Saccharomyces cerevisiae S288C: one gene and its partners. Changing the gene in region 4 together with the main gene of any one other region gives a genetic interaction. Each region holds a gene or a part of one and is shown on either strand. Other genes may lie near its edges.

Region 1 (5,716 bases), on a different chromosome or scaffold from region 4:
TCGTTCTTTTCTCCGTTATCTGGGTCTTTAGTATCATTGGAGGTACCTTTTGAAGTTTCTTGGGGTTCCATACTTTGATTTTGTTTTGTATTTTCATTCTCAGCGTTTATAGTTGACTTTTGGGAGGAAGCTGTCCCATCTTCTGGTGTCGCTTCCACCACTTTGGGTTGTTCTTGATCGGCTGTACTCATTGCTAATTGATATGTTTTTGCCTTTTATTACTAAAAGTTCCTCTATATATACTTCAGAGGACAATAAACTCCCTTGATATGGCCTGCATATACTTTACAAGTGCTATCAAACAAAGATGCTGGGCAATGAAGCTGACAGTTAACTCTTCCAAAACTTCCCTTCAAAGAAATTGTGAGAGAAAAAAACCTTCTTGTTACCCTTCTTTGGAAGAATACCGCACATCATAAAATCAAGAAATGAATTCGAAAGTTTACTCTTTCTTTCTAGAGGCGTTACACCAATATTAGCGAATTGCAGTTTCCCACAAAAGGCGTCCATTGGCATCAAATAACTAGATAGTATAAAATGTTTGGTCTACCTCAACAGGAAGTCTCCGAAGAGGAGAAAAGAGCTCATCAAGAACAAACTGAGAAAACCTTGAAACAGGCCGCTTATGTGGCTGCGTTTCTTTGGGTTTCCCCAATGATCTGGCATTTGGTGAAAAAGCAATGGAAATAATTCCCCACTGAAGAAAAAAGATTGCATCTATGAATGACACTAAAATATGTTTCTCTTTTTGTATTTGCTTTTGATTAAATAATGGTCAATTTGCGCCCCCCACCTTATATAGTTTAGAGAAAGACGTGTAAATATTTTTTAAAAAATTGATACTGCTCTAATGAGCCTAAATCTCCTTTCTTCGCTTGTATATATGCGTATTCTGTATGTTTGTCCAGGCAGATTTTTCGGCTTTTTTTACCAGCTTTTATTATTAAAATGTGATAACCTTAATTGAAGGTTGCGATACAAAATAATCCTTTATTACGCATAACCAAGGAAAAGAGAAAATCAGTGCACATATGGGTTTACCTGAAGTTAACTTTCTTCGAAAAAACTGCATACTTGTGGAGTTAAAATTATTCTATCAAACAGTATACCCACCGAAGGAACTATATTGGAATAACCGAATAACTGCAGAATTGAGTACATTCTCCAATATTAAGTATGCAAGGCCGACTTTCGCAGTAAATAATGGCACATTTCAGAGAACAAGACCGAAATTAGACTTGGTACTGGCTTCATCTGATATTCGTAAGCTGGCTACGGTTTTATTTAATTTAAAAGCTCTCATAATGAATACGAAGGGTGAGGAACCCACTCTAACCACGATGACTAGTGTCCAAACGAACGAAGAGAAAAATGATAACCTGGAACAGAAATATTCAAGTCTGCTAGATAGATGGAATGGGAAAGTAGAAGTGCATGATTCTCCTTTCCTTCAACTCCAACGGGACAGCAACCTTTTGTTTGCTGAGAGGCCGGTACGTTACGTTAGCACTACAGAAGGTGAAGGCGTGGACATATCTAGTGAAGAGTTTTTCAGGTTAGAGGAAGAACAGTGCCGAAGGAATTATGATGTTTTGGTCGATGAACATTCTACACCATCAGTCGGGATGAAAGACGGCCAATACGGACCAAATATAATTCACTTTGAACCGTCGCTGTACCACACATATTCTTCTCTACCAATGAGTATGAAATTTTGGTTAAATGGTCTAGAAGACGACGAAACGACGATGATGAACATTGATGAGAAGTCAGCCGAAAATCTGGATATATTATTACATGGTTTCAAAGGATTTTCGAACAAGCGCGTTAAAGGATGAATTAATCATCCTCTTCATGTACTACTTATGTCCAATTTGAGTGTAAAATCACAGGTACAAGGCTTATCCATATTCGTATATATCTTCATAATGTTTCATAATTGCTTCAGAAAATTATTCAAAACGTCTTGTGATATTCATTAGGTGAAATCGTAGTTTGCCTGATACTTGAAAGAATCTCACCTGGAGAATGGGTGTTTTCACTAAGATTCGTTAATTTCCACTAATGATTAATTGTTAACTGTTTAACGCGACGCGTAATAAAGTTTCCTGAATACGCCAACATATGGGAACATATAGATTAAATTAATAAGAAAGCTTGGGAAAAATAATTGAGAAGGGCAAGAAGTGACGTAAATATACTAGACGTACTATTATGGTTTCAGTTATAGACAAGCTTGTTTTTGACTTTGGTGGGAAAACTCTGGTCTCTCTCGCACCAGATAATAATACTTTGTGTGTAGCCAATAAAAATGGCTTAACCAAGATTCTGAAGACAAATAACCCAGAAGAAGAGCCAGAGACTTTAGATTCTTCCAAATTGGTCTCGTCTATAAAATGCTATTCAAACTCGCACTTTCTGATGACTACAATGCAAGGTGATGCTCTTAGGTATAACATCGATTCTAGTCAAGAAGAATTATTGGCTAGATTTGCTTTACCCCTACGTGACTGCTGTGTTATTCATTCAGGTAAAATGGCCGTATTTGGAGGAGACGACTTAGAACTAATCCTTTTGGAATTGGACGATGAAACACACAAAAAACATGCCATTAAAATCGATGAACAAGTTTCTCAAATTTCTTACAATTCACAGATGAATATTTTAGCAGTTTCAATGATAAATGGTAAGGTACAAATTTTTTCTCTGACATCTACTATTCCAAACAAAGTTCATGAGTTAAATGATTACATAGTGGCCAATTCATATGATGATACACACAGAGATAAGATACTCTCGAATATGATGGATGATATAGATAAAGACAATGATAATGACCTGAGTGAAACGGCTGATCCAGATGAGAACAATGTAGCTGATCCAGAATTCTGTGCTGCTAATAGAATTTGCACGAGAGTGGCTTGGCATCCGAAGGGTCTGCATTTTGCGCTACCATGTGCAGATGATACAGTAAAAATATTCTCTATAAAGGGATATTCCCTACAAAAGACGTTGTCCACAAATCTCTCATCAACAAAGGCTCATTTCATTGATTTGCAATTTGACCCGTTACGTGGAACTTACATTGCGGCAGTAGATTTAAATAATAAGTTAACGGTATGGAATTGGGAAACTTCCGAGATCCACTACACCAGGGAATTCAAAAGAAAAATTACTAATATTGCCTGGAAAATCCAAGCGGACTCAAAAACTCTAGACCTTGTTTTAGGTACCTGGTCCGGTAGTATAGCCATTGTCCAAAATTTGGCAGAGTCCGTAGTATCTAATATACCTGACCAATCTGTTGCTGAATCTTCAACTAAACATGGGCTTTTTGTAGACTCCGAATCTGACTTGGAAAACTTAGAGGGAAATGATGATATAAACAAAAGCGATAAGCTATTTTCAGATATTACTCAAGAAGCGAATGCGGAAGATGTGTTCACTCAAACACACGACGGCCCCAGTGGATTAAGTGAAAAGAGAAAATACAACTTCGAAGATGAAGAAGACTTTATTGATGATGACGATGGTGCTGGTTATATTAGTGGCAAAAAACCACATAATGAACATTCTTATTCGAGAGTACACAAGACTCATTCGTTTCCAATCAGTTTGGCAAACACAGGAAAATTTCGTTATATGCCTTTTTCTCCAGCGGGAACACCTTTTGGCTTTACTGACAGGCGTTATTTGACAATGAATGAAGTGGGCTACGTATCTACTGTCAAGAATAGTGAGCAATACAGCATAACTGTCTCTTTTTTTGATGTTGGACGTTTTAGAGAATACCATTTCGAGGACTTATTTGGCTACGATTTATGCTTCCTAAATGAAAAAGGCACTTTATTTGGCCAATCCAAAACTGGGCAGATACAATATAGGCCACACGATAGCATACATTCAAACTGGACCAAGATTATTCCTTTGCAAGCTGGTGAGAGAATAACAAGTGTGGCAGCCACCCCGGTTCGCGTTATTGTTGGTACATCATTAGGCTATTTCAGAAGTTTCAATCAATTCGGGGTTCCATTTGCTGTTGAAAAGACATCCCCAATTGTAGCGCTTACTGCTCAGAATTATAGGGTTTTTTCAGTACATTATTCGCAGTTTCATGGCCTTTCATACTCTTTATCTGAATTGGGTACTTCTAGTAAAAGGTACTATAAAAGAGAGTGTCCACTTCCAATGAGTTTACCAAACATTAATTCTGATATGAAAAAAGACGCAAATCTTGACTACTACAATTTTAATCCGATGGGCATCAAAAGTTTGTTCTTTTCAAGCTACGGAGATCCATGCATTTTTGGGTCCGACAACACGCTTCTATTGTTATCAAAGTGGAGATCACCAGAAGAAAGTAAATGGCTCCCTATTCTAGATAGCAACATGGAAATATGGAAGATGTCAGGAGGGAAGGAAACGACAGATATACATGTCTGGCCCTTGGCTTTGGCGTATGACACATTGAATTGTATCTTAGTTAAGGGCAAGCATATATGGCCCGAGTTTCCCCTTCCGTTGCCATCCGAAATGGAGATTAGAATGCCAGTATTTGTTAAGAGTAAATTACTAGAGGAAAACAAAGCTATATTAAATAAAAAGAACGAAATTGGAGCTGACACCGAAGCGGAAGAAGGGGAAGAAGACAAAGAAATACAGATTCCTGTTTCTATGGCGGCGGAAGAAGAGTATCTGCGCAGCAAGGTTTTGTCAGAGCTGTTGACAGATACACTCGAAAATGACGGTGAAATGTACGGCAACGAAAATGAGGTATTGGCAGCATTGAACGGTGCATATGATAAGGCTTTGTTACGTTTATTTGCGTCTGCATGCTCAGACCAAAATGTTGAAAAGGCTCTTTCGCTTGCTCATGAATTAAAACAAGATAGAGCACTTACTGCAGCCGTTAAGATATCAGAAAGAGCTGAGCTGCCCTCTCTCGTTAAAAAAATTAATAATATAAGGGAAGCTAGATATGAACAGCAATTGAAATAAAAAAATGTAAAATATATATACGCAAGAGACAATTATTTGATACCTGTTCATTTGTTCAAATCATCGTTCAAAATGCTCCCACATTAACATATATTTCTTTGAATGCGACGATAATAAAGAGTTACGTTGAACATGATCTGAGCTGGAAGCGTCCTTGCGAATTTTCGCGAAAGGAAAAAGTGAAAAAATATGAAAAAAAAAAAAAGAGATGACATTTTATAGATGAGCTTTGATTAAACAGTGTAACACCTGGTCCTGTACCGTAAATATTCAAATAAGCATCAATTCAAAGTTCTTTATTTCTTCTTTAGCATTTCAAAATTATAGAAAATCTAGAAAAGATGTCAGATGTTACCCAACAGAAAAAGAGGAAAAGATCCAAAGGAGAAGTTAATCCATCAAAACCCACAGTAGACGAAGAAATCACAGATCCATCCTCAAACGAAGATGAACAACTAGAAGTTTCGGATGAAGAAGACGCATTGGAATCTGAAGAAGAATTCGAGGGTGAAAATCCAGCCGATAAAAGAAGGAGGCTTGCAAAGCAATATCTGGAGAATCTGAAAAGCGAAGCTAATGACATTTTAACTGATAATAGGAACGCTGAAGAAAAAGATTTAAACAATCTCAAGGAAAGAACAATCGACGAGTACAACAATTTTGATGCTGGAGATTTGGATAAGGATATCATTGCGTCCAGGTTAAAAGAAGACGTTGC
Region 2 (4,635 bases), on a different chromosome or scaffold from region 4:
TGCTTCAGCGTTCTATGAATCCGTCTATATTTTTTAAGTAATCAGTGTCCCATGAATGCGAATTAGAGTCGTAACTGTTATTTCCATTGTGGAATGGAGTCCTGTCCTATTGTCCTGTTGAAAAAATATTCGAACCAGCAGAAGTATCTTTTCTCTCGTTATTACGAAGGCTAAGCTGTAATAATAAATCATGTATTTCGGATTCATAATTGTCCCGCTGCATGTCCTTTTCTATTTGCAAATTGGTATATTTCAGCTCTAAATCGGATAGTCTTTGCTTCAATGTTTGTATTTCAAAGTTTTTCAAATCCTCCTCCTGATACAGCCGTTCCCTAGAAGTGGCCAGTTCAGCCTCATGACTGATCGTTTGATCAAGGACCTTTTTCAAACTCTTGTACTTCTGACCTAATGAATAATAATTTTCAAAGAGTGTCTTAGATTTCTTCAACTCGTTGACCAGTTCTGCTCTCATTTCCTCGTATGCTTGCTTATAAGTTTGCTCATTCCTGTGGAATTGCTCACGCTGCTCTCTAACATCCTCACACAAATCTTCCAGGTCTCTACTGTTCAAGTCCATTTGTGCAAAAAGATCAAAATATGCCTTTTTATACTCTCTATTCTTGTGGCAAGCATCTTCGTCCCGGACATAGTAATTGTCTATTTCATCACGTTTTGTTAAGGGAGATGGAAATTTGCCTGGTATATCTTTAACCGATAACTTATAGGGCGATCTTCTAACCTCATTAACTCCATCCTTGTTAAATAATTTCGAGAGCAAAGGGTCGTCTTCCTGAGGTGGTATAAAGGGTATCTGCGAATTGGAAAGCTCATTTATAGTTCTCCTTTTTGTGTGTAGTCTGTGACCAAATGTATCCGTAGGTTCGTTACGAAGTGGTTCTCTCGGTACTATCGGAGCAGGACTTCGTAAAGATCGTATTCTCTCTTTGCTGTGGTGGTCACCGTTAACAATTGAGTTAAAGCCGTTCTCGTTGTACTCTGGGAGTAACTCGTACTTCCTATGGAGCGTTGAATCCAGACCAGACCACGAATTTGACCTCGATAAGTTTGTACTCCTCCTGTTGGAGTCATTTCCAAACTTCATAGAAAAATTTGTGTCGTCTTGGGCATACCTAGATCGGTCTCTTCGTTCTTCCTGATCTTTATATTTCATTGAAGGTGATATGTCCGTACCAAACAGCGCATCCTTAGTCCATTTGAAAAGACCAAAAATGCCCCCTCCGCCCGTGTTGTCTTCCTGATTCATTGTTCAGTAGTCATTCGCCTCTATGCTCCTTCGAAGATTGACTTTTTTCGTTGTTTTGATTTCCTCGTCTTCAGTCTCTTTATGTTGTATTAGTTTTCAAAGTGTCAAGTTTTTCGTGATTTTCACCGAGCGACACAAAAACGGGTCGCGTCAGAAATAATTTTAAAAGAGCAGCGTAATATACCGCTACAGAAAAATTGGTTCAAGTATCCATTTTTAAGCATCTTTGCTTCTATTTACTCTTGAAAATATTCCTCCAGTATCGCCTGTGTTGGAGTGCGGTAACTTTTATTGTTTTCTCTACGAGTGAAAGGCATTTTTTGAAACCACTATTCGTTTCCTTCTGTAAGTTATCTCATCTTTTTCGTATCCTCCGCACTTTTACCCTGAAATGCGAACTAAAGCAACTATACATTGTTAATAATGATACTGAGGTTCAAAAGTGCCAAGTTATCAATTCATGCGCGCTTTACCCGGCTCCATCTTTCCGAAAACGGAAATCATCGCGAAATTTGTCTCAACGGAAGTACACGAAATTCGTCCCGCTGAACCTCAAAACTGCGTGTTCTAGTCACGAAACGCGCCAAAAACCGTTATGTTTCCGCATGCGGATACCTAGCGAAGAGCACATTTGGCGTAGCCTGTTAAGTATAACTGCTAAAAATTGAAATGAACACCAACTGAAACAACTGTTGGCCCTTTTTGAGGATCTAACCTGCGAAATGTTGATCTGACAGGCCTACTGAAAAACGGAAAGGAAAAAAGGCCTGCGCAAACGCAGAACGCAGATCCGCCTTCTATTTGCGTATCGCACGCAGCCTCTGGCTACTTGTTTAACTTACTATCTCTTTCATATATAAAAAAATAGCAATCGACTCTGGTAACTATTATGCTCCTCTTACTGGTTTTTTAGTGAATTGGCAATAGATAATATCAAGGACAACTTACTTTTATTTTAACATCTACTTTACTTCATCGTCAAATTTTCTTCTTATATACAGCATTGCTAGACTCTATAGCTGCCAATTCATTCGCTTACCACATCATAATTTGCATACAAAAGAAAATCTTTTCTTTTTTCCATTCATTCATTAAATTTAACGACAGACAATGGCTAGTGCTGAACCAAGACCCCGTATGGGACTCGTCATCAATGCTAAACCGGACTACTATCCGATTGAGCTATCTAATGCAGAATTACTTTCTCACTTCGAAATGCTGCAAGAATACCACCAAGAAATCTCCACCAATGTTATTGCTCAATCATGTAAGTTCAAACCTAATCCAAAACTAATAGACCAGCAGCCTGAAATGAACCCCGTGGAAACAAGGTCCAACATTATCACTTTTTTGTTCGAGCTGTCTGTGGTCACTCGAGTGACAAATGGTATTTTTTTTCATTCAGTTAGATTATATGACCGCTATTGTTCCAAGAGAATCGTGTTACGGGACCAAGCCAAATTGGTTGTCGCTACTTGTCTCTGGTTGGCTGCTAAAACTTGGGGCGGTTGTAATCACATCATCAATAATGTAGTCATCCCTACTGGCGGAAGATTTTATGGTCCCAACCCAAGGGCACGTATACCTCGACTCTCTGAACTAGTTCATTACTGTGGTGATGGTCAGGTCTTTGATGAATCAATGTTTTTACAAATGGAAAGACATATACTAGACACTTTAAATTGGAACATTTATGAACCAATGATCAATGATTACGTTTTAAATGTTGATGAAAATTGTTTGATGCAATACGAACTTTATGAAAATCAAGTTACTTATGACAAACAATGCTCTGAAAAACGTCAGTCTCAATTATCCCAGGATAGTGATGCCACTGTAGACGAGAGGCCCTACCAAAACGAAGAAGAAGAAGAAGAAGACTTAAAACTAAAGATCAAGTTGATTAATTTGAAAAAATTCTTGATTGATGTATCCGCGTGGCAGTACGACTTACTTAGATATGAACTTTTCGAAGTATCGCACGGCATATTCTCCATTATCAATCAATTCACCAATCAAGACCACGGTCCTTTTTTAATGACTCCAATGACATCAGAAAGCAAAAATGGTGAAATTTTGAGTACCTTAATGAACGGCATTGTTTCCATTCCTAACTCCTTGATGGAAGTGTATAAAACGGTCAATGGTGTTCTACCCTTCATTAATCAAGTGAAAGAATATCACTTGGATCTACAAAGAAAACTGCAAATTGCATCCAACTTGAACATTTCGAGAAAGCTTACCATATCAACCCCATCATGCTCTTTCGAAAATTCAAATAGCACATCCATTCCTTCGCCCGCTTCCTCATCTCAAAGCCACACTCCAATGAGAAACATGAGCTCACTCTCTGATAACAGCGTTTTCAGCCGGAATATGGAACAATCATCACCAATCACTCCAAGTATGTACCAATTTGGTCAGCAGCAGTCAAACAGTATATGTGGTAGCACCGTTAGTGTGAATAGTCTGGTGAATACAAATAACAAACAAAGGATCTACGAACAAATCACGGGTCCTAACAGCAATAACGCAACCAATGATTATATTGATTTGCTAAACCTAAATGAGTCTAACAAGGAAAACCAAAATCCCGCAACGGCGCATTACCTCAATGGGGGCCCACCCAAGACAAGCTTCATTAACCATGGAATGTTCCCCTCGCCAACTGGGACCATAAATAGCGGTAAATCTAGCAGTGCCTCATCTTTAATTTCTTTTGGTATGGGCAATACCCAAGTAATATAGTTCCTGTTCTTTTCATGATAAATGAATGCCAATTTGCCAAACGTACCAAAAAGAGACCAATATTATAAGATTTATAAAAGAAAAGCTTTCATATTCTGCGGGAAAAGAGAGACCACATACTCAGTTTATCGCTATAATTTTAACGGTATATATTTATATTTTTGTAAATCAATGAAACAGCCAACTAAATTCTGTGTAGAGTTAAAAAAAGGACATTAAAAGTATTTTTCTTTGCTGATGGCACTCAAGTCTAATCTTATTAAAAAAAATCGATTATTAGAATAAAGAAAATGTTATTCAGTTGTGGTAAAATCCTAAGCTCAACAATTCATAACTTAAAGGGATAAGAAGCGACGACATATAATATGAAGAGTGACTTGTTCATGATACAATGGAAAGCTATTTATTCTTTTTCTAAAGATTCCTGTATTTTCCTTAAGAACTTCCTGCATACAATATACAGCATTGTTGCCTTTATCGAAACGAAAAACTACCGAAAAAAGCAAGACGTCCCACTATTTTAGACTTCGTATACTTATTACGCAGGTAGGAGTGCAATAGTTGATGGGGTAGAGAGAAGCACTGAAACTGGTGTCCTCAAAGAAACTGGTGTTTTCAAAGAA
Region 3 (5,337 bases), on a different chromosome or scaffold from region 4:
ATTTTGTTATATCTTGATATTTCTAGAAACATTAATTGGCATGCCGCAATTTGAAAAAAATGGATTGGTTTAGCTTTTTTCCTCAAGCTATTGACCTTCGATCTAAATTCACGATGAAATTCACCTATTAAGTCGAATAGTTCAGGCATGTCAAGGTGCACCAAAAAAGCAATAAGGCTTTCGTTAAAGTGAACTAGTTCAGTATCAGTGATACCTTTATCAATGATTACTCTGAATATTTTCTGTAATGATGTAGCTATATCTGCAGGATTCAATTTTGATAGCAAGAAACTCTTGTCTGACAACTGGATCTTGAAGAAATTAGGTGGCTCAAAAGGTTTTTTTAGTAAAATTGAGTCAAGTACGACCATTATTGGTCCAAGCTCTTGATTGGAGTCTTCTTCCTCAAATTCCATGTCATGATTAATGCTGTCCCTATTACGTACATTTGGCTTTGTGAAAGCGTATCGGTTCGTGGGAACCTCTACAACAGTATTGAAAACTGGTTTTCGTCTCGATTCAAGATCAGCGGAGAAACTTGAGTATATAGGTGCTTTCTTCTTCCTTCTTTTTTTCTGTGGCTTGAGAGAAGAGCTGTCATCCTGTTCTAGGGATTGAGATTCTAATTCTTCAAAAAAATAATCATCAATTACATGATTCTTCTTAGAAACAAATGAAACTGGATTATTAGCTGCCAAATGAGATTTATGCGCTGACCGTTTTCCGACTTTGATAGCTTTTGTACTTGGGGCCAGACAAGAATTTCGATATTTGTACTTATATCTTCTCACTCTCTTACTTTTTGTATTCAAAAAGTTGGCATCATTGGTTGCTTTAATTCTTTTAGGTTTAACCAACATCTTGTCAATTATACCATCGTTATGCTCTTCAGCAGCATCTAGGGAAATTACACTTTGATTATCTTCGGCAGATATATTGTATTGCTCACTAAATCCGCTATCTGAATGCCGTGAATTCAAATAAATAATAGGCTGGTCTTTATAAGACACATGTGATATGCAGCTCCCCGGTCCGTCATATTCCAGCTCATACACTGGTTCATTGCGGTATTCCTCATTTAAATTAAAACCAGAAGTTCCAGCCGATTGTGCGTCTTCACTATACTTGCTCTCATAATATTCTTGCAATTCCTTTAATTCCTTTTCGTTAGCCTCACGATCCTCTGGAAGATTTCCTAAGTATATATCTGGAGGGGCGTTTTCCTCGATATCCAGTTCGTCATCAGGTGCAATAAGATCGTTCAATAAGTTCTGTTCTTCATCTTCAATATGGGCGCTTCTGTTCATTTTCCTCTTAGCCACACCCTTATGGTTCAATAATTGAGTTTTTCTTTTCGTGACTTTTGAAGACTGCTGCTTTTGCAACGACTTTTCCCAAGCAACTCTTGGCAGGACCCCACGGTAACCAGTTCTTACATTCAATACTCTTCCTCTAAATATTACTTCGTCATTTTGAGTATTCTGTAAATTTGTACTAGCCAAGTCTTGTTCATCTTCCGTAGAATCACCTGATTGAAATACTATATCCTGGTCGAGGTCTTTAAAAGTACGATGCCTTTTCTTTGGTATTTCTTCATCACTATCATATCTTTGAGATTGAACCGAGCTGTTTTCGGGTTTAATGGAGTCGATTGTAACATCTTTCTGCTCATCTAAGGGTTTACCAGTTCTCTTTGTAAGTAAAATATCATTTGAGTGAATCACTGTAGAAGCGTTCTTCGGTAAGGTCAACTGATTCGAAATGCTGTCAAAACTAGAGATATCATAGCCCTCTAGCAACTGCCTATGCTTTATGCGTTCTAAACTGTATGGCATCTTTTGAATAGCCTTCCTCTTCCTCAAAGACCACCGAAGCCCCGTAGTAACTTGTGTATCAGTTACTACGGAAGGAGTACAAGATTCTCCAGCAGTGGAATCCAGGCTCAACCTCTCAGTGACAATTTTCTGTGATCTGCTTGCTTCTTGGACGTTTTCCTCTGCCCATAAATAATTTTCATTGAATTCGGGTTCGTATATGATACTAATTTCCTCATCAGTGGCCTCAGAATCTGATATCACAATAGGATTCGGTTCATCAACATCCATAAGCTTATCTGCTGACGCTACCACTAAACTTCAAATCTACAATCCTATCTTTTATTCTTTCACTTCTTGAATTTAATTTTACACGCAGATGCGCTTTACTCTTTGAAGATATCTCGCTAGCCGAGCTGAACGAATTTTATCCTACTATTATGCATTCTTGAGATAATGGCATCAAAACAAACCCAAGAAAAGGGAAAAAGAGTAGAAGCTGGCTGCCAAATTGGTGTAGTAATCCTCGTATTATTTTAAAATTAGATGAAGATGGCCGTGGATGACCCTACGTATGGCACCCCAAAGATTAAAAGAACTGCTTCTAGCAGTAGTAGTATTGAAACGACAGTAACAAAGTTGCTGATGTCCACCAAGCACCTCCTCCAGGTCTTAACACAATGGTCTAAGGGGACAACCTCTGGAAGATTAGTATCTGATGCATACGTTCAGTTGGGCAATGACTTCAAAGTCGTATCGAAATTCTTCATGCATGCGAAAGTTGACATGTCAGATGTTGGTGATGTGCCAATGGCTTTAAGACGTGTATTGGAAGTGACATTGAGGGAACCACCATCTGATGAAACTTTAAATAAACATCTGCCAAAAATCAGAGAGATTATAGTGACACTTTTAGACAAACTAAAGGTTAAACAAGCAATTTTGAAGAATATGCAGCAAGAGCATCGGATAAGTGTAAAATCACATCATCAACAAAACCCTTCCTTTACTAGTAACCTTTCATTGGGTAGTGAAGGGACCCGTGAGGGGACTCCATTAAGTAGCAGAAAAAGCAGTATTGTACGTGATCAGAGGCAAAGCGATTCAGTCGAAAACAGCTATGGGGAAAAAGTGAATTCTACTTCTACGGGAACACCCTCTGCTCAGTCAGCAGAGGCAACATTGACAAAACCAAGAACTAATATTAAACAAAACCTTAAATCTAACAATGCTCCAAACGCATCTGATGATGATGATGCACTTTCACAATTGAAGAAGGGAACTAATTTACAAAGGAGAGCCTCAAAGAGATACTCTGCCTACCATATGGCTAAATTGACAAATCAGTCTACAACAGAAGCTGCTGCGGCTGCCGGCCTCATGACAACTCCTTCACCCTCGATGTTGCATCTAGAGGAAACCGTAAGAAAGTCAAAGTTATACGGAAATAACAACAATGATGATGATAGAAACATTAATTCAGCTGAAAATAAGGGTAAAAGCATTGACGATGTATCAAAGGCGAGTCCATTGGCGAAAACGCCATTGCCTATTGAGAATGTTCGTGCATCTCCACGAAGATTATCAAGCGTTGTTACAACTTCGCCAGATAAAGCCATGAATGGAACTTGTCCAGTATTTTTAAGGATAGGAGACAAAACAAAGAAGTGTCATGTGCAACTGCCTACTACAAAAAACGCATTAAGGCTCCTATTTATTGAGCGCTTTGCGTATTCTCCTGGAGCAAATTCCTTCCCAGACATATATATTATGGATCCTCAATATGGAGTATTCTATGAATTAGAGGAACTAAATCTTCTCGATATTAAAGAAGGGTTTGTTATCGAGCTAAAGCTCGAAGAGAATCCAAATAATACGATCAAGGAATTCATTGACACAGTTAAGATGGAGATATCGAATAGTCAGAATGATATAATAAGACATTTAAAAGAAATGAGTTTTGGTTCTGCAATTAGCGGCAAGCAAACGGAAGTTTTACCACAACCTGGCCTTGAAGCTAACAAACACGATCTTGTGGGGCAAAACAAAAAAGATGATGATAAAACGATCAAAGATATTCAGTACGAATTGGGGAAAATAAAACAAGTGCATAATATTAATAGGTCAAATATTAATGAGACTATTTTCAACATTTTACGAAAGGTCGATAACTTTAAGTCTTTATCATTTTCTGCCAAAAACTCTTCCAACAGAATGTACATGGAAAAATCACAGACCGAACTCGGTGATTTATCCGATACTCTGCTAAGTAAAGTAGATGATTTGCAAGATGTAATCGAAATTATGAGGAAAGACGTTGCTGAGCGTAGGTCTCAGCCCGCTAAAAAGAAGCTAGAAACCGTATCCAAGGATTTAGAAAATGCCCAAGCAGATGTACTTAAACTACAGGAGTTTATTGATACTGAAAAACCACATTGGAAAAAAACTTGGGAAGCTGAGCTCGATAAGGTCTGTGAAGAACAACAGTTTCTCACGTTGCAGGAAGAGTTGATTTTAGATTTGAAGGAAGACTTGGGTAAGGCATTAGAAACTTTCGATCTTATTAAGTTATGTTGTGAAGAACAAGAAAAAAACCCTTCGAGATCAAAAAGTAATCCTATTTTGCCTATTATGAGACCGGGCACATTTAATCAGGTAAGGGAGCAAGTTATGGTGGCCGTCCAATCTTTAAACCCTGACCACGATAGTAGGGTCGAAGCTATTGACAAGGCTGAGAAGATGTGGGAGATGGAAAGAAAACTTAAAGCTAGTAATGAATTTGATGATGAACTGGAAAATTTTGTGGGTAATTCAAACCTGAAAAAATCGGGAGGCTTTGAAGAAGTAGAAAGGATAAGAAAGCAGAAGGATGAAGCAAATTTGAGAGCATATTTTGGGCCGGGGTTTACTTAAATACACTAATTTTATGAAAGCTAACGGAAAAGAGATTAGTGCTTTTGGCTTATTACAAAGTTTGCGGCAATATTTTCCTTATCAGCATCATAAGCTGTCAGTATTTCATGTATTATTAGTACTAATTAACTATATGTATATATATATATATATATGCTTGCAAGTGTTGAATTTCCTTTCTCAAAAGAATGATATTATCTTTAAATTTTGATGTGTTTGAAGATAGGCTTTCCAAAAATCCATTCAATATGGTGAATCGTACCTCATACTCGATTAAAGGATCACATTTCGTAATTGGACAACCGCTGACTGTCATTTCAATGATGCGTTGTAAGAACGAATGAAATTGCATATTTTGCGTAACATTAATTGATAGATCCTTAAAAGCAGATTTATAACATTCCGAAATGTTCTTTACAACATGATCAATTTGCATGAGAACGGTGTTTGTTGAATTTAAATTTGTGTCAATTGTTTTATAAGAGATTCTAGTGTTAAACAGCGCTATTAAACTTCGAAATATCCCTTTACTAGATTTCGAACGGATATGGAAATTATTCATTGTGCTTGAATGTTTCCAAACTTCCAATTCTTTAACAAATATGTGCAT
Region 4 (5,442 bases):
AGATTTTATTGCTTTTTCGGACAGCTCTGAAGATGAAACAGAACAAATAAAGGAAGATGATGATGAAAGAAGCAGTTTTCTGTTGACCGATGAACATGAAGTTTCTAAGCTTACTTCACAGCAATCTCTGAACACTGAAAGCGCTTGCAATGTGGAGTATCCTTGGATAAGAAATCATTGTCATTCGAAACAAAGGAGAATAGCAGATTGGCTAACTTCAGAAATCAAAGATTTCGTTCATTATATCTCTCCAAGCAAGAACGAAATCAAGTGCAGAAATAGAACGATCGATAAACTACGCCGGGCGGTCAAGGAACTGTGGTCGGATGCAGATTTGCATGTGTTTGGTTCTTTTGCCACCGATTTATATTTGCCGGGTTCTGACATTGACTGTGTCGTAAACAGCCGGAATCGCGATAAAGAGGACAGAAATTACATTTATGAATTGGCGAGACATTTGAAAAACAAAGGGCTAGCTATAAGAATGGAGGTTATTGTTAAAACGCGAGTGCCTATTATCAAATTCATAGAGCCCCAATCACAGTTACATATCGACGTTTCATTTGAAAGAACGAACGGGTTAGAGGCTGCAAAACTCATCAGGGAATGGCTAAGAGACTCTCCAGGGTTACGTGAACTGGTACTGATAATAAAACAATTTTTGCATTCAAGACGATTGAACAATGTGCACACAGGAGGATTGGGAGGTTTCACAGTAATCTGTTTGGTTTATTCTTTTTTAAATATGCATCCGCGAATAAAATCAAACGATATCGACGTTCTAGATAACCTGGGTGTTCTACTGATTGACTTCTTCGAACTTTACGGAAAAAATTTTGGTTATGATGACGTTGCTATAAGCATATCTGATGGTTACGCCTCTTATATTCCTAAATCGTGTTGGAGAACTTTGGAACCTTCAAGGAGTAAATTCTCGCTAGCTATTCAAGATCCTGGTGATCCTAACAATAATATAAGCAGAGGCTCCTTTAATATGAAGGATATAAAAAAGGCCTTTGCTGGTGCCTTCGAACTGTTGGTCAATAAATGCTGGGAATTGAATTCTGCTACATTCAAAGACCGCGTTGGAAAAAGTATACTCGGAAACGTGATCAAATACCGTGGGCAAAAGAGAGATTTCAACGACGAAAGAGATTTAGTGCAGAATAAAGCCATCATTGAAAACGAGCGCTACCACAAGAGGCGCACGAGGATAGTTCAAGAAGATTTATTTATAAACGACACCGAAGACTTGCCAGTAGAGGAGATCTACAAACTTGACGAACCTGCAAAGAAGAAACAGAAGGCAAAAAAGGATAAGAGAGAAGGGGAAATCAAAAAGAGTGCCATTCCATCTCCACCTCCGGATTTTGGAGTGAGCAGAAGCAAATTGAAACGCAAAGTGAAAAAAACTGATCAGGGCTCTCTCCTACACCAAAACAACCTCAGCATAGATGACTTGATGGGACTTTCTGAGAATGATCAAGAATCCGATCAAGATCAAAAAGGAAGAGATACCCCTTCGGGACAAGATGAGAAATCACCACTGGAAACTAAGACAGTAGATGCTCAAACGAGAAGGGACTACTGGCTCTCTAAAGGCCAGGCTCTTTAACACAATATAGACTCTTATAGACTATTTACTATTTATACAAGAATACCACATCGATGTCCAAGTGAAACAATAAGCTAATGATATCAAACGCGTGGGTATTTTCCCTTTCCGGAAATATAGAGCCACCAAAAAAGGATAGTTTCCCGATATGGAAATTTTCTCGAGCCGGTAAGATGACGAAATTTTTCATCTCTGGCATGATAGAAACATAGTATGGAACGTGCAGGAGAGTCTGATTCGAGACACATAATTTGAAAGAACCTTCTAGCCTGAGCCTTGTACATGTATTAGCGTTGCCAGTTATTTGCTTCTGCTGCTAATAAGATCAAAACCTTAAGTCCTTTATTTCGATCGAACGTACTGCGCTACTGAAAACCATTGCATCTTTTGCTATCATTCATTCCTGGTGGTTTCTTTGGTGTAATAAATCGAACAGTGAAACTGAAACATAAAAGAAATAGTGCAAAATATGTCTCTTTCAGCTGCAGCGAATAAGATATCTGACAACGATTTCCAAAATATCGGACCGGCACCTAGACCTCCCAGTTCAAATAGCCAGGGCCGTACTTGCTATAATCAAACGCAACCTATAACCAAACTTATGAGTCAACTGGATTTAACATCAGCGTCCCATTTAGGTACAAGTACCTCCAAAAAAAAAAGCGGGTGGGTGTCCTACAAAGATGACGGTATACTTTCATTTATATGGCAAAAGAGATACCTGATGCTACACGATTCGTATGTAGCCCTTTACAAGAACGATAAACAAAATGACGATGCGATCTTGAAGATACCACTAACTAGTATTATAAGTGTAAGCAGGACACAGTTGAAACAATATTGTTTTGAGTTGGTGCGCTGCAGTGACCGAAATTCTGTATCATCAGGATCCTCGTCCTCTTTGAATGTATCATCAGACAGTAACTCCAAAAAATCAATATACATTGCTACAAAGACAGAAAGCGATTTGCATAGTTGGTTAGACGCCATTTTTGCTAAATGTCCATTATTAAGTGGTGTATCTTCTCCAACAAACTTCACACATAAAGTTCACGTTGGTTTTGATCCAGAAACAGGTAGTTTTGTTGGTATGCCCACCAACTGGGAAAAATTATTAAAGCACTCCAGAATTACAGGAGAAGATTGGAACAATAATTCTGCGGCTGTCATTCAAGTGTTGCAGTTTTATCAAGAGTATAATGGAGCCGGAAATCCCACAAATACTTTAGACAAGCCTCAAAGTGGTGAAACTTCCTCCTCTCAAAAATCGCTGCCAAACAGCTATAATGATAACAAACTCAGAAATAATTCAGTAAATTCAAAGTCATCTTCAGGCGTTTCTTCAAGTATGGTATCACAGAGGAAAACCTCACAACCACCAAATACCAAATCGCCTGTTTCTCTAGGAAGCGGCTCACTGCCACCAATAAATACAAAATTGCCCACTAGTCAGTCAAATATTCCAAGACACTTACAAAATGTTCCCAACCAACAATATCCTAAGATGAGAAACGGACACTCCCCAACCAATGGCCAATTTCCTAGGGGACCTATGCATCCAAACAATTCTCAACGATCTTTGCAGCAGCAGCAGCAGCAGCAGCAGCAACAAAAACAACAGCATCAACAATATCCATACCACCATCAAGGACCATCTCCATCTCCATCCCCATCTCCGTCTCCATTAAACCCTTATAGGCCACATCACAATATGATAAATCCTTATTCCAAACAACCTCAATCGCCATTAAGTTCACAGTCGACCCAAAACCAAGCAATTCCACGTTATGCACAAAACTCAAGTCCTACAGCCGCACACTTTCAACCTCAAAGAACAGCTCCAAAGCCACCAATATCAGCTCCAAGGGCGCCATACCCATCAAATCAAAATGCTACTAGTAACACACATGTACAGCCTGTTGCACCTAAGAATGACCAGTCAACCCCACAAACAATGAGGCAGGCCCCAAAGAGACCGGATGCAGATGTCGCACAACCGGGTGGTGTGGCCAAACCGAAGAAGCCAGCAAGGCCTACCATGTCAACTGCAGAAATAATGAGTAAGCTGAAGAAAGTCACCGTAAATGCGGATCCATCTCAATGCTTTAAAGTGATCGAGAAGGCCGGTCAAGGTGCAAGTGGGTCCGTCTACCTTGCAGAGAGGACGCATATTCCGACAGAAAGTAATATGATCGAACTCATAAACAATGATATTGATGAGCCGCACGTAGGAGATAAAGTTGCTATCAAGCAAATGGTCTTATCTAAACAACCTCGTAAAGAACTCATAGTGAATGAAATTTTGGTTATGAAGGATTCACGTCATAAAAATATCGTCAATTTTCTCGAGGCTTATTTGAGAACAGACGATGACCTATGGGTTGTGATGGAGTTTATGGAAGGAGGTTCACTAACAGACATTATCGAGAATAGTCCCACCAACGATAATTCACATTCACCACTAACAGAACCCCAAATTGCATATATCGTACGAGAAACTTGCCAAGGCTTGAAATTTCTACACGACAAGCATATCATTCATAGGGATATTAAATCAGATAATGTCTTGCTGGACACTAGAGCTAGGGTGAAAATTACCGATTTTGGGTTTTGCGCCAGATTAACTGATAAAAGAAGCAAAAGAGCCACTATGGTTGGGACACCTTACTGGATGGCACCTGAAGTTGTCAAACAACGTGAATACGATGAAAAGATTGACGTATGGTCTTTGGGTATCATGACCATTGAAATGCTGGAGGGTGAACCACCATATTTAAATGAAGATCCACTAAAGGCGTTGTACTTAATTGCAACTAATGGTACACCAAAGCTCAAGCATCCAGAAAGTTTGTCTTTAGAAATTAAACGCTTTCTAAGCGTTTGCCTTTGCGTAGATGTTAGATATAGGGCATCAACCGAAGAGCTTTTACACCACGGTTTTTTCAATATGGCATGTGATCCAAAGGATTTGACATCACTGTTGGAGTGGAAGGAATGAAGCACACAACTATTTCTATAAGCATATCATACATACTACAATCTTATGTATTTCTTTTCTTTTAGCTATGCATACCAATGGCATAATATATAAATACGTTCACCTTAAAAGTTTTTTTTTTAAAGTAAATAAAAAAAGACCTGCAACGATACAATAATCAATCCAATGTCGTTTAATATTACTATTTATCCTACGTGATTTTTAAAAATATTCGTCCATGCTTCAGCTTCTAGTCTAGTTTCGTAAATCCAAGTGATAATTCCAAAACTTTATCTTGGAGGCCATCCATTTTATGAGATACTGGGATGGTTCTTAAAATCAACGGACTTAATGTTTGTAGGTTTTCAACTCCAATTTGTTTGTTGCCAAGGGTCGAATTTTGATCTAGAACACCTCTTAAAATCACGCATAGCCCATTTAATAGAGTAGCTAGTTCTGTTTTACGCAATTTTGGTATTGGTGCTCGCCCAATCAAGTATTCATCTGAGATATATCTTCTAAGAGCAAGGGCAATTCTTGCAGAAAGATAAGGAGCAGTTAACTTTCTTAATTTCTCGTTTGTGTTCAACATAAAATTAACCAAATCTTGCAAGCACTCTAAAGAGCACTTATATTTTGTCTGAAAGCGAGGATTTGTGGTGGATCCAAATATACATGAAAAATCGAACGAAGATAGTTTTTGAGACAATTCAGAAAACGTACCACAGTCTTGCATCAAAGCATTTTCTAATTCATCGAATTCATATAAAAATGAACAATCCCAGACGGCATAAATGAAAGTGTCTAATTGCCTTTCATTGAAGAGATCAATGATTCTGTTTTCCAGCAA

Evidence for each region.
Region 1: mutations in CLA4 (region 4) and CTF4 are lethal when combined (synthetic lethality), as found in Saccharomyces cerevisiae (5 studies listed by BioGRID, with this or other methods).
Region 2: mutations in CLA4 (region 4) and CLN2 are lethal when combined (synthetic lethality), as found in Saccharomyces cerevisiae (5 studies listed by BioGRID, with this or other methods).
Region 3: mutations in CLA4 (region 4) and BUD6 together harm fitness more than expected from each alone (negative genetic interaction), as found in Saccharomyces cerevisiae (6 studies listed by BioGRID, with this or other methods).

Annotation. Positions count from the first base shown.
Region 1 is NC_001148.4:797,020-802,735, forward strand, and holds CTF4 (chromatin-binding protein CTF4), read left to right. Parts: upstream 1-2,214; coding exon 2,215-4,998; downstream 4,999-5,716. Other genes in the region: transcription factor SPN1, read right to left, coding at 1-191; TOM5 (Tom5p), read left to right, coding at 538-690; MSS18 (Mss18p), read left to right, coding at 1,032-1,838; ribosomal RNA-processing protein RRP9, read left to right, coding at 5,340-5,716. UniProt on the Saccharomyces cerevisiae protein: Accessory factor for DNA replication. It plays a role in accurately duplicating the genome in vivo.
Region 2 is NC_001148.4:64,354-68,988, reverse strand, and holds CLN2 (cyclin CLN2), read left to right. Parts: upstream 1-2,374; coding exon 2,375-4,012; downstream 4,013-4,635. Other genes in the region: BBP1 (Bbp1p), read right to left, coding at 107-1,264.
Region 3 is NC_001144.5:768,708-774,044, reverse strand, and holds BUD6 (formin-mediated actin nucleation enhancer), read left to right. Parts: upstream 1-2,360; coding exon 2,361-4,727; downstream 4,728-5,337. Other genes in the region: MMS22 (Mms22p), read right to left, coding at 1-2,105; EST2 (telomerase reverse transcriptase), read right to left, coding at 4,849-5,337.
Region 4 is NC_001146.8:66,831-72,272, forward strand, and holds CLA4 (serine/threonine protein kinase CLA4), read left to right. Parts: upstream 1-2,084; coding exon 2,085-4,613; downstream 4,614-5,442. Other genes in the region: non-canonical poly(A) polymerase TRF5, read left to right, coding at 1-1,615; MON2 (Mon2p), read right to left, coding at 4,843-5,442. UniProt on the Saccharomyces cerevisiae protein: Involved in budding and cytokinesis.